2 linked regions of the Mus musculus genome follow. The protein of the gene in region 2 binds, or shares a complex with, the protein of the main gene of each other region. Links are inferred from orthologs where the notes say so. Each region holds a gene or a part of one and is shown on either strand. Other genes may lie near its edges.

Evidence for each region. Proteins that work in one complex are often made in the same cells at the same time.
Region 1: Ddx5 (region 2) and Srsf1 share a complex: the UniProt entries of both Homo sapiens proteins name them as parts of the ribonucleoprotein complex. The link is inferred for Mus musculus from reciprocal best matches to the Homo sapiens genes DDX5 and SRSF1.

Annotation. Positions count from the first base shown.
Region 1 is NC_000077.6:88,045,850-88,050,352, forward strand, and holds the start of Srsf1 (serine/arginine-rich splicing factor 1), read left to right. Parts: upstream 1-1,523; 5' UTR 1,524-1,989; coding exon 1,990-2,183; intron 2,184-2,640; coding exon 2,641-2,825; intron 2,826-3,193; coding exon 3,194-3,366; coding exon of another isoform or gene 3,367-3,420; exon of another isoform or gene 3,421-3,562; coding exon 3,563-3,757; 3' UTR 3,758-4,503. UniProt on the Homo sapiens protein: Plays a role in preventing exon skipping, ensuring the accuracy of splicing and regulating alternative splicing.
Region 2 is NC_000077.6:106,785,564-106,789,989, forward strand, and holds the start of Ddx5 (probable ATP-dependent RNA helicase DDX5), read right to left. Parts: upstream 2,932-4,426; 5' UTR 2,754-2,931; coding exon 2,710-2,753; intron 1,512-2,709; coding exon 1,346-1,511; intron 982-1,345; coding exon 885-981; intron 797-884; coding exon 663-796; intron 570-662; coding exon 504-569; intron 1-503. Other genes in the region: Cep95 (centrosomal protein of 95 kDa), read left to right, coding at 3,796-3,814. UniProt on the Homo sapiens protein: Involved in the alternative regulation of pre-mRNA splicing; its RNA helicase activity is necessary for increasing tau exon 10 inclusion and occurs in a RBM4-dependent manner. Binds to the tau pre-mRNA in the stem-loop region downstream of exon 10.

The DNA.
Region 1 (4,503 bases), about 19 Mb from region 2:
CTTCAGGCATTTTGCCTAGAAACCTTATACATCACTTCTGCCTCTCCCCCACTCTCACTGTCCTTGATTTCTCCAGCCAGTCTTAATATTTAATGGTTTCATTTTAAGCAGCCCCACATCCTTGGACTGTTGTAAATAAATGATAACATCCAGGGGCAGCAATGACTCAGTGACTCATCTGGTTAAGGTGCTCCTCCCAAGCCTGACGTTTCATCTCGGGGGCTCACATGGCATGAGTGGTGAACTGCACCTTATTTTCTGACTTTCACACATGGGCCATGGCATGACCCACCACCCCAAGACACAATATGCATAACATAAAAATTAAAAACTAAAAATTACAGTATAAAGAATCACCCTTAGAACCTGTGGGGATCCGACTTAGCATATTTATTAGTGATAGGGTCGACACAGCTCTGGCTGGCCTTGAACCCTGAAATTCCGCTTCCCAAAAACTTCAAGAGGCATTTACCACTACGCCTGGCTGTCTCTATCCAATCATGAAAGGCTCTGGTTTTAGCTGGGAGGTAGTGACTTTGATCCCAGCACTCAGAAGGCAGGAACTCCAGGACAGCCAGGGGTACACAGAGAAATCGTGTCTCAAACAAAACAACCCCAAAACAAAAACAACACCAAGAAAACGTTTTGTTTTTCAATATTTTTAATAGAAAGGGTTTCCCTGAATGTCCCGGGCTAACCTTTCCCCCCGCCTCCCCTTTGGTTTTTCGAGACAGGGCTTCTCTGTATAGCCCTGGCTGTCCTGGAACTCACTCAGTAGACCAGGCTGGCCTCGAACTCTGAAATCCGCCTGCCTCTGCCTCCCGAGCGCTGGGATTAAAGGCATGCGCCACCACTGCCTGGCTCCGGGATAACCTTTACTAGAACTGTGTATAACAGGGTAGGCTGGACCCTCCTTGCCTCAGCTTCCGGAGTGATAGGATTTCAGGCACACAAGCTTAAGTCCAGATTGGTTTGCTTTTATTATAATTCGAGTTCATTAACAACACTACAAGGCCGTATGATTTCACACGTAAGGCTCTTCTATTCCCGTTATTACAAAACAAAGAAGCAAAATTGTGGTATCCAATGCAAGAATCCTTTTGCAGATAATCTTGGCAAAATAAACAAATAAATAAATAATCTCCCTAGACCAGCACAGAACCGGGATCTCGGCTCTGCAGTTAAACTGTTTTATCACTCTTCCTTTTTCATCCTTAGAAAGGAGGAAGAGGAAAACTCAAGGCACAGTTTTCATTTAGATAGATATGGAGGATCCGTCTAGACACTTTAACTAAGATGCAGCCCACCGCAGGTTCCCAGAGGCAGAAGCCACACTGCTCCGCTTCGGCTTTTAAATGAAATCACCTGCAACTCCCGCCGGCGGCACCGAAGTGCAGAAGATGCCCAGGTTTCCGGAGCAACAGCTCAGCGTCATCTATCTCCGCCCCGCGGCGCCTTTCCCGCCAAAGGCCGTTACCACCGCGGAGCATGGTGGGACACGCTTGCAAGATAGGTTTCACCCAATCTTTTTAGAGCGCCGAGCTGCTTTCAGAGAGGGTCTACCCCCGAGGTGGCCGACGATTCTGGACTCAGTGGGGATTAATAATAACCGCTTTAACCAGAGCATGTGATTTTTACTAAACGCCTGGACGTTCCAGCAGCCAGTCAACCCGCCAGGACGCGAGGGACTTTTTCCCCTCCGTGCGGAGGGTGACGTCGCGCGTGCGCGAGCGTGCTTCTCAGCACCCGTTAGAGGCGTGCGCCTGCGCACTGGGAGGGACGAGCCGCTTCCTCCGGCTTCTCTTCCTCCCCCTCCCCCCCGGTATCAGTGCGCCGAGCTGATAAAGGCGCCATTTTGGAGCGGCCGCGGGAGACGTGGTGCCGCTGAGGGCTCGCTCTGCCGTACGCTAGGCTTGGTAGGAAGGCCTCTTTTTTTTTTTTTCCTTCCCCCCCCCCGAGTCCGCGCTTTTCGTCGTCGCCGCCGCCGCCATGTCGGGAGGTGGTGTGATCCGTGGCCCGGCGGGGAACAACGACTGCCGCATCTACGTGGGTAACCTACCTCCGGATATCCGAACCAAGGACATCGAGGACGTGTTTTACAAATACGGCGCCATCCGCGACATCGACCTGAAGAACCGCCGCGGGGGACCGCCCTTCGCCTTCGTTGAGTTCGAGGACCCGCGGTGAGGCAGCGTGGGGCGTGCGCGGCCTTGAGGAGATAGCGTGGAGGAGTTGGGGAAGGCTCGGAGGCCTTGGAACATAATGGGGGGAGAGGAGGGGCTCCGAGGCGCTATCGCCCCTGCAGGAGTCGAGTCAGGAGAGCCGAGAGGCGGCGCGTTGTCTCCGGTGGCCGGCCGCCTCGGACGTCCCCCCTACCCCCCGAGCCCATGCGCAGCCCCCGGAGCGGGAAACCGAGGCGCTGAGGGCCGGCGAGGTGGTCGGGAGCCTCTGCCCGGCGTGGTGCTGGGTGGGGGAAGGGCCGGCCCTATTATGCGGCGCATGTGGGGCTCCGTGTGGCCCCGTGGGTGCGCATGTGCGCTGTGGCCGCGGCTTTTCACCCCCGGAGCGGGCGAACGAGCTGGGTCCGGCGGCTCCCTCCCCTCATCACCCCCCCCTTTCGCTTTCTGTGATCACACGCAGAGACGCGGAAGATGCGGTGTACGGTCGCGACGGCTACGACTACGACGGCTACCGGCTGCGGGTAGAGTTTCCCCGAAGCGGCCGCGGGACCGGCCGAGGCGGCGGCGGGGGTGGAGGCGGCGGCGCCCCGAGAGGCCGCTATGGCCCGCCGTCCAGGCGGTCCGAGAACAGAGTGGTTGTCTCTGGTGAGTTGACTTCGTGCGGGTTAAAATCTTTTTCCCGCATGACTGCTTTGAGTACTGCAAGGTTTTTGTTATTGTTGTTTTTGTTTTGTTTTACACACGGGGTCTTGGACTACTTCGGTCTTTGGGATGAATTTAGTAAATAAAGATTACTGTGGTGGTGATTTACCCAAATTAGGTTGCAGTACTAGCCTATGAAGATCCTTTACAAATAAATTTGGACTCTGGATCTGACTCTTACCAGCTCTTTACCTGGAAACACTTAAGTACAATCATTAAGTATTTTAAAATAATCCTTGTTCGAATGTACTTTACACGTTTGCCGTGGGACAGGATGAGTAGTATTAAATTAGGGGGAATCGCTTTTTCAGGACTGCCTCCGAGTGGAAGCTGGCAGGACTTAAAGGATCACATGCGTGAGGCAGGTGATGTATGTTACGCTGATGTTTACCGAGATGGCACTGGTGTCGTGGAGTTTGTACGGAAAGAAGATATGACGTATGCAGTTCGAAAACTGGATAACACTAAGTTTAGATCTCACGAGGTAGGTTATACACTTATTCTTTTTTTTGGCCAGAATTGGATACAGTTTTCTTAACAGTGGAATTTGAAGGTAAGGATACAGGCAAGGGTGTTCACGTAAATTACCAGAGCCCTGATCTGTCTTTGTATTCGTTCAGCTTGTCTGAAGACAGGTGAAAGCTTAGATCTTTCAATGGAAAGTTCTGTCTATCCAATAGGGAGAAACTGCCTACATCCGGGTTAAAGTTGATGGGCCCAGAAGTCCAAGTTATGGAAGATCTCGATCTCGAAGCCGTAGTCGTAGCAGAAGCCGTAGCAGAAGCAACAGCAGGAGTCGCAGTTACTCCCCAAGGAGAAGCAGAGGATCACCACGCTATTCTCCCCGTCATAGCAGATCTCGCTCTCGTACATAAGATGATTGGTGACACTTTTTGTAGAACCCATGTTGTATACAGTTTTCCTTTACTCAGTACAATCTTTTCATTTTTTTAATTCAAGCTGTTTTGTTCAGAATGGGCTAAAGTGTTGAATTGCATTCTTGTGTAATATCCCCTTGCTCCTAACATCTACATTCCCCTCATGTCTTTGGTAACTTGTATTTTAAGTGATGTCATAGACAGGATTGTTTAAATTTAGTTAATTTCCATGCTCTTCAGACTGTGATATTATGTAAATGTCTATTCTGCTCTGGTTTGTGTGAAATGGGATGTTGGGGGTGTTTGTGGTTATCTTACTTGGGGGAAGTTCTTATGTTTATCTTGCTTTTCATGTGTCTTTCTGTAGACATATCTGAAGAGATGGATTAAGAATGCTTTGGATTAAGGATTGTGGAGCACATTTCAATCATTTTAGGATTGTCAAAAGGAGGATTGAGGAGGATCAGATCAATAATGGAGGCAATGGTATGACTCCAAGTGCTATTGTCACAGATGAAATTGGCAGTATTGACCTTATACTAGAAGGCGAGGGTTAAAAATTTATCTACCTTAAAAGATTTGCAAACACTTAATGCAGTTATCTTCAGCTACAATTGCTTTGCTTTTTAAAACCTTGGCAATTGTGGTAGAATTGCCCATTTTGTAACAATTATTTGCTCCCTTCCCCCCTTTTTGTTTTAATAGGGACTAATGTGGGAAGAATGGCTAATTTGTCACAGTGC
Region 2 (4,426 bases):
TTAGTATAAAACAGTTTACTAAGACCCTATGTCTTCGTGTGTTGGGAATTAGAATTCAGGTGGTCATAAGACTTTTTTTTGAGACAGTGTCTCCTGAATTCTCCAGTTTCTACCTCCCAGGCACTATTCTCAGGATAAAATTTTTGTGTGTGGAAGCACATGGAGAAACCAGAAGGCAACTTTTGCAAGTTGGTCTCTCCTTGTGGTAGTTGATCTTGATCAGGCTCATGACAAGTATCTATAATTGGCTGATCCAACTAACTGTCTTTGGATACTAATTTTTTCCCCCCGAGATAGGGTTTCTTTGTGTAGCTCTGGCTGTCCTGGAACTCAGAAATCCACCTGCCTCTGCCTCCCCAGTGCTGTGATTAAAGGTGTGTGCCACCACGCCTGGGCTGGATACTAATTTTAAGTGGCTAGTTTATACTGGCAACCCTATATTCCCTATATGAAAGTCAAAGGAGTTTTAGCAAATATGGTGGGAAACTTAAGATAATACTTACAATAGGCCCATCACCTCTCTCTAGGAATGGCTGGTGGTTTATGTGTACAATGGCAGGCAGCAAATACTATTGAAGAGTAAAAATAATAGAAATTGGATTAAAATAGTTATATATCTAAGGTCACCTCTGCCACAATTTATCAAGTTTTCCTAGACTTACAGATAATGTTTTCCCAGATCCAGTCTGAGCTACTCCAACCATATCCAATCCACTGAGAGCAACTGGCCAGCCCTGAGCTTGAATAGCAGTGGGTTCAGTAAAGTTCTGCCTTGCAATCACATCCATGACATTCGCTGCAACCAACAATACCATTTTAAAAACAAATTTATAAGCAAGGGGGGGGGGGGAAATGAAAGGATAAAGATGAAAGTTAGTCCTTACCAGGAAAGTTTGCTTCATAAAAATTCAGAACAGGTTTTGGACAGTTGTGACCTCTAACTGTAATTTCCTTGCTTCTTCTGTATGTATCTACCTCTTGCTGAAAAACAAATTATCTCAGCCTCAGACTTCTGCCATGCTCCCTATAGCTCAATAAACTTTTAAACATACTTATTTCTAAAAATCTGGACCCATAAATAAGAACTCTACTTGGCAACAAAAATTAATAATTAATTTATAATACTTATTTAAATGAAAATTGAGTCTCTATGAAGCCCAATAGACTGCTAAACCTGTTTCCCCAGTGACAGGATTAAAATAGGGCACCATATATCACAAGAAAAATTCAATGGAAGTGCACCACAAGCAACTCTCCATTTGCAAGGCACCTATTACATTTCCATCTAATTGACTAGAAGCAGTTACTGAGTTACAGCATGAAGAAGCCACATTTATAAACTCACTGCGGTGCGCCTTGCCAAATCAGGGTGTTCTTGATAAAAATTCTTCTCAAATTTGGGCAGCTCATCAAGATTCCACTTCTTTTTAACTAGTTTCTCCCCAGGATTTCCAAACTTCTTTCCAGAGAGGGGTCCTGTTCTACTCCCTCCAAATCGAGGTGCACCAAACCTACACACACACAAAACAAAAGTTGGGCACATTGTGAAAGATACTGCATGAACAGGTTTGCCCTCACATTTCATCTGCTGCCTTTTGATAGAGCCAAAGTGTGCTTCTGGAATCCTTCCCAACTGTCATTCTAAGGACAGCCACAACTGGCAGCGTTTCTTTTCTGAAGTCCCAAGCACACTCTACTGAGGCCAAATAAACATCGTGGGTTTATCAGGTGGCAAACAGCCCAAACATCTGACCAGATTACAAGGACAAGAGTTAGAGCCTCCATCTTCTCTCCCCACAGAGCTTAGGCATTAGCGTCTAGGAGCTGGGCAAGAAGGGAGGAGCTTAGGAAGGTTATTTTTGCCCGTTTTCATCAAAGGACCTAATCTTAAAGAAATAACGGGGCCGCAAAGGCAATGTGAGCAGCTGAACGAGGCTAGCACGGCGGACAGGGTAGAAAGGGGAACAGGCGCCAGCGAGCCGAGTCTAGGGAAACGCCGCGAACGGCTGCAAACCAAGGTAACAAAATTATATAACGCGAGGGAGAAAAAGAGGAGGAGCCGAAAGCAACCGGGGGAGGAGTCCCGGCCCGGGCGGCGTTCCCGCTGGGGCGGCGCTTCCTTCTTTGTCTCGCATTTCTCTCTGCGCCACATTTTCTCGCCGCTGCCATTTTGAGCTCCTCCGCCGGGCGGGGTAACAAAGGCGCCGCCGCCATGTCCGAGGCCGGCATTTTGTGGCTGCGGCTCCGCCACATGGCCGAATCCGCCGGCGTAGGCCACCCAACGGGGCACAGGGGACCTCGAAAGCGCCCCTTCTTTCCCCCGGGGATACCGGAAGGGGGGGCCCCCCTCAAAAAACAACCCAACGAAAGATTGCGCAAACGACGCCGGGAACCGCCTCAAAGGCGCGGCGCTTCCCGACCGAAAACACTCCTCCGGGTTTCCCTCAACAGCCGCGAGGTCGCCGGGCCGCCCCGGGTCCCGGCCCACCCTCCCGGACCAAAAAAAAAAAAAAAAAAAAAAAAAAAAAGGTTGAACGCCATTACCCGAAGCGTAGCCTTTAACGGCTTTTAACCGGACGTGTGACAAAAGCCAGGCCTCCTTTCAGGAAGGGAAAAAAAAAAATCTAAAGGTCGGTTGGGAAGGCGAGCCTTCGGCCGCGCCGCTCTCCCATCCCCCACCCGGCCTGACAGGTCTCTTGTCACACTCACCCTCGATCCCGGCCGCGGTCTCGGTCACTAGAATAACTCGACATGGCGTCAATGGTGGCGGTGTGCGGGCGGAACCCAGTGAAAGTAGAATCCTGCGGCGACGAGTCGCGGAGAGAAGGCCTCGGCGACGGCGAAGCCTCTGCGGGGGCGTCACCAGCGGAGGGGCCGGTGGTGTCGAGGGCCGGAGCTGCGAGGGCAAGGACCGATGGAAATGAATGAGGTGCCGGCTGCGTCCCGGCAGCCGCTTTTATAGTCTGGACCGCCTCCTCGCCGCAAAGCACGCTGGGAGCCGCTCTATGACCTAATCACCCCGCCCCCCTGGCTCGGAGGCCCTCAACGCCCGCCCGCCCGGGTTCCGGAATCCGCCATGTTCTCGCCCCTCCCCCTCCGCGGGCGGGCGCTCCCTCCCCGGCGCCCGTTTATTACTCGCTTCACGACTGGGTGACACCACTAGAATGCCTCGCCCCGACGCCCTTTTGGCGACACCGCCGTCTCTCGTCTCGCTACACCTCAGACAAGCTGCTTCCCCGTGGCCAGACGGTCCTTAAAATGGCCAGCGCCAGCCATTCCACCGACTCTACTTGAAGATGTTTACGTCTCCACAGACTCCCCCCACGCCCATAACCGAAGGAGACCAGGGAGGCGGAGCTTGGCCTCATCACGTGATCGGACCCAGGGCAAGGCGGATCGCACTACTTCCTCGCTTGGTCTCTCGGCGGAGGAACACCAAACCACCAACTCACCGGAAGCGCGGCTCCAACGCCCCCGGGGAGATCGGCCGGGCTGCTGGGTGACCTGGCTGCCCTGCCCGCCGATCTGAGAACCCGTAAGCGGGATCTTGACCGCGGGGAATGGTATCTGGAGCCCGCAAACTGCCGCCTCAGCGCGTGCTGCGAGGAAGTGCTCCTCTGCTGTCCAATCAGCGTCGAGAAGCCGTTTTAACGTCCCTCCCTCTTCCACCCCTCCTTCCCCGCTCGCTAGTGTCTGCCCCCTCCTCCTCCCGTCGGCTCGACCGAGTTCGACCCTTCTGGGACACCGTCGCCCGCGCTCTCGTCTTGGAGTCCGGCCGCGACCTCTCCTGGCAGTATGGCCAGCTCAGAGGCTGGTGAGTCTCGGCCTGGAGCCCTGGTGGTTTTGTACTGCAGCATTCCGCGGACCTTGGGCTGAATCTGAACCGCGTCTGCGCCGCTGCGGAGGCTCGGGACTGTCGGACACTAGTTGCAGTCGCGCGCGCGGTGGGGGGGGGGGTTCTATGAATTTAGGGTCTCAGCCTCGAAACCTCTTGCGGTTTCCAGACGTGGAACTGAGACTTGGGATGAGATAGGAACTCTTTGTCGAGCCTGGGACACCCGCATCCTGTCTATATAGAGCAGTCAAGATCCTTTCTTGGATCCGAATTTTTGTGGGGTATCTATCCACAGACTGTCTCTCTTTCCCCTTGCTTTGTTTGGACTAAGGCAGAACTTATCTTTATATTGATTTTTTTTTCCTTTTTGAGGCATAGCACTCATAAGTTCTTTTGATGCCCTCTAGAGTAACTGGCATTTTCTAGTACTGCCTTTGAAAAGCCAATTGATTCGGTTGTCTAGGACGCTTTCCTCTCTTTCCAAAATGGTTGTCATGGCTTGGTCAGCTGTGCGACATAGGCATCGGGAAGAGGGCATACTGGGCATGACATATTCAGACTATTGTCTCCAGAGCGTGTGTCAGTACTGGA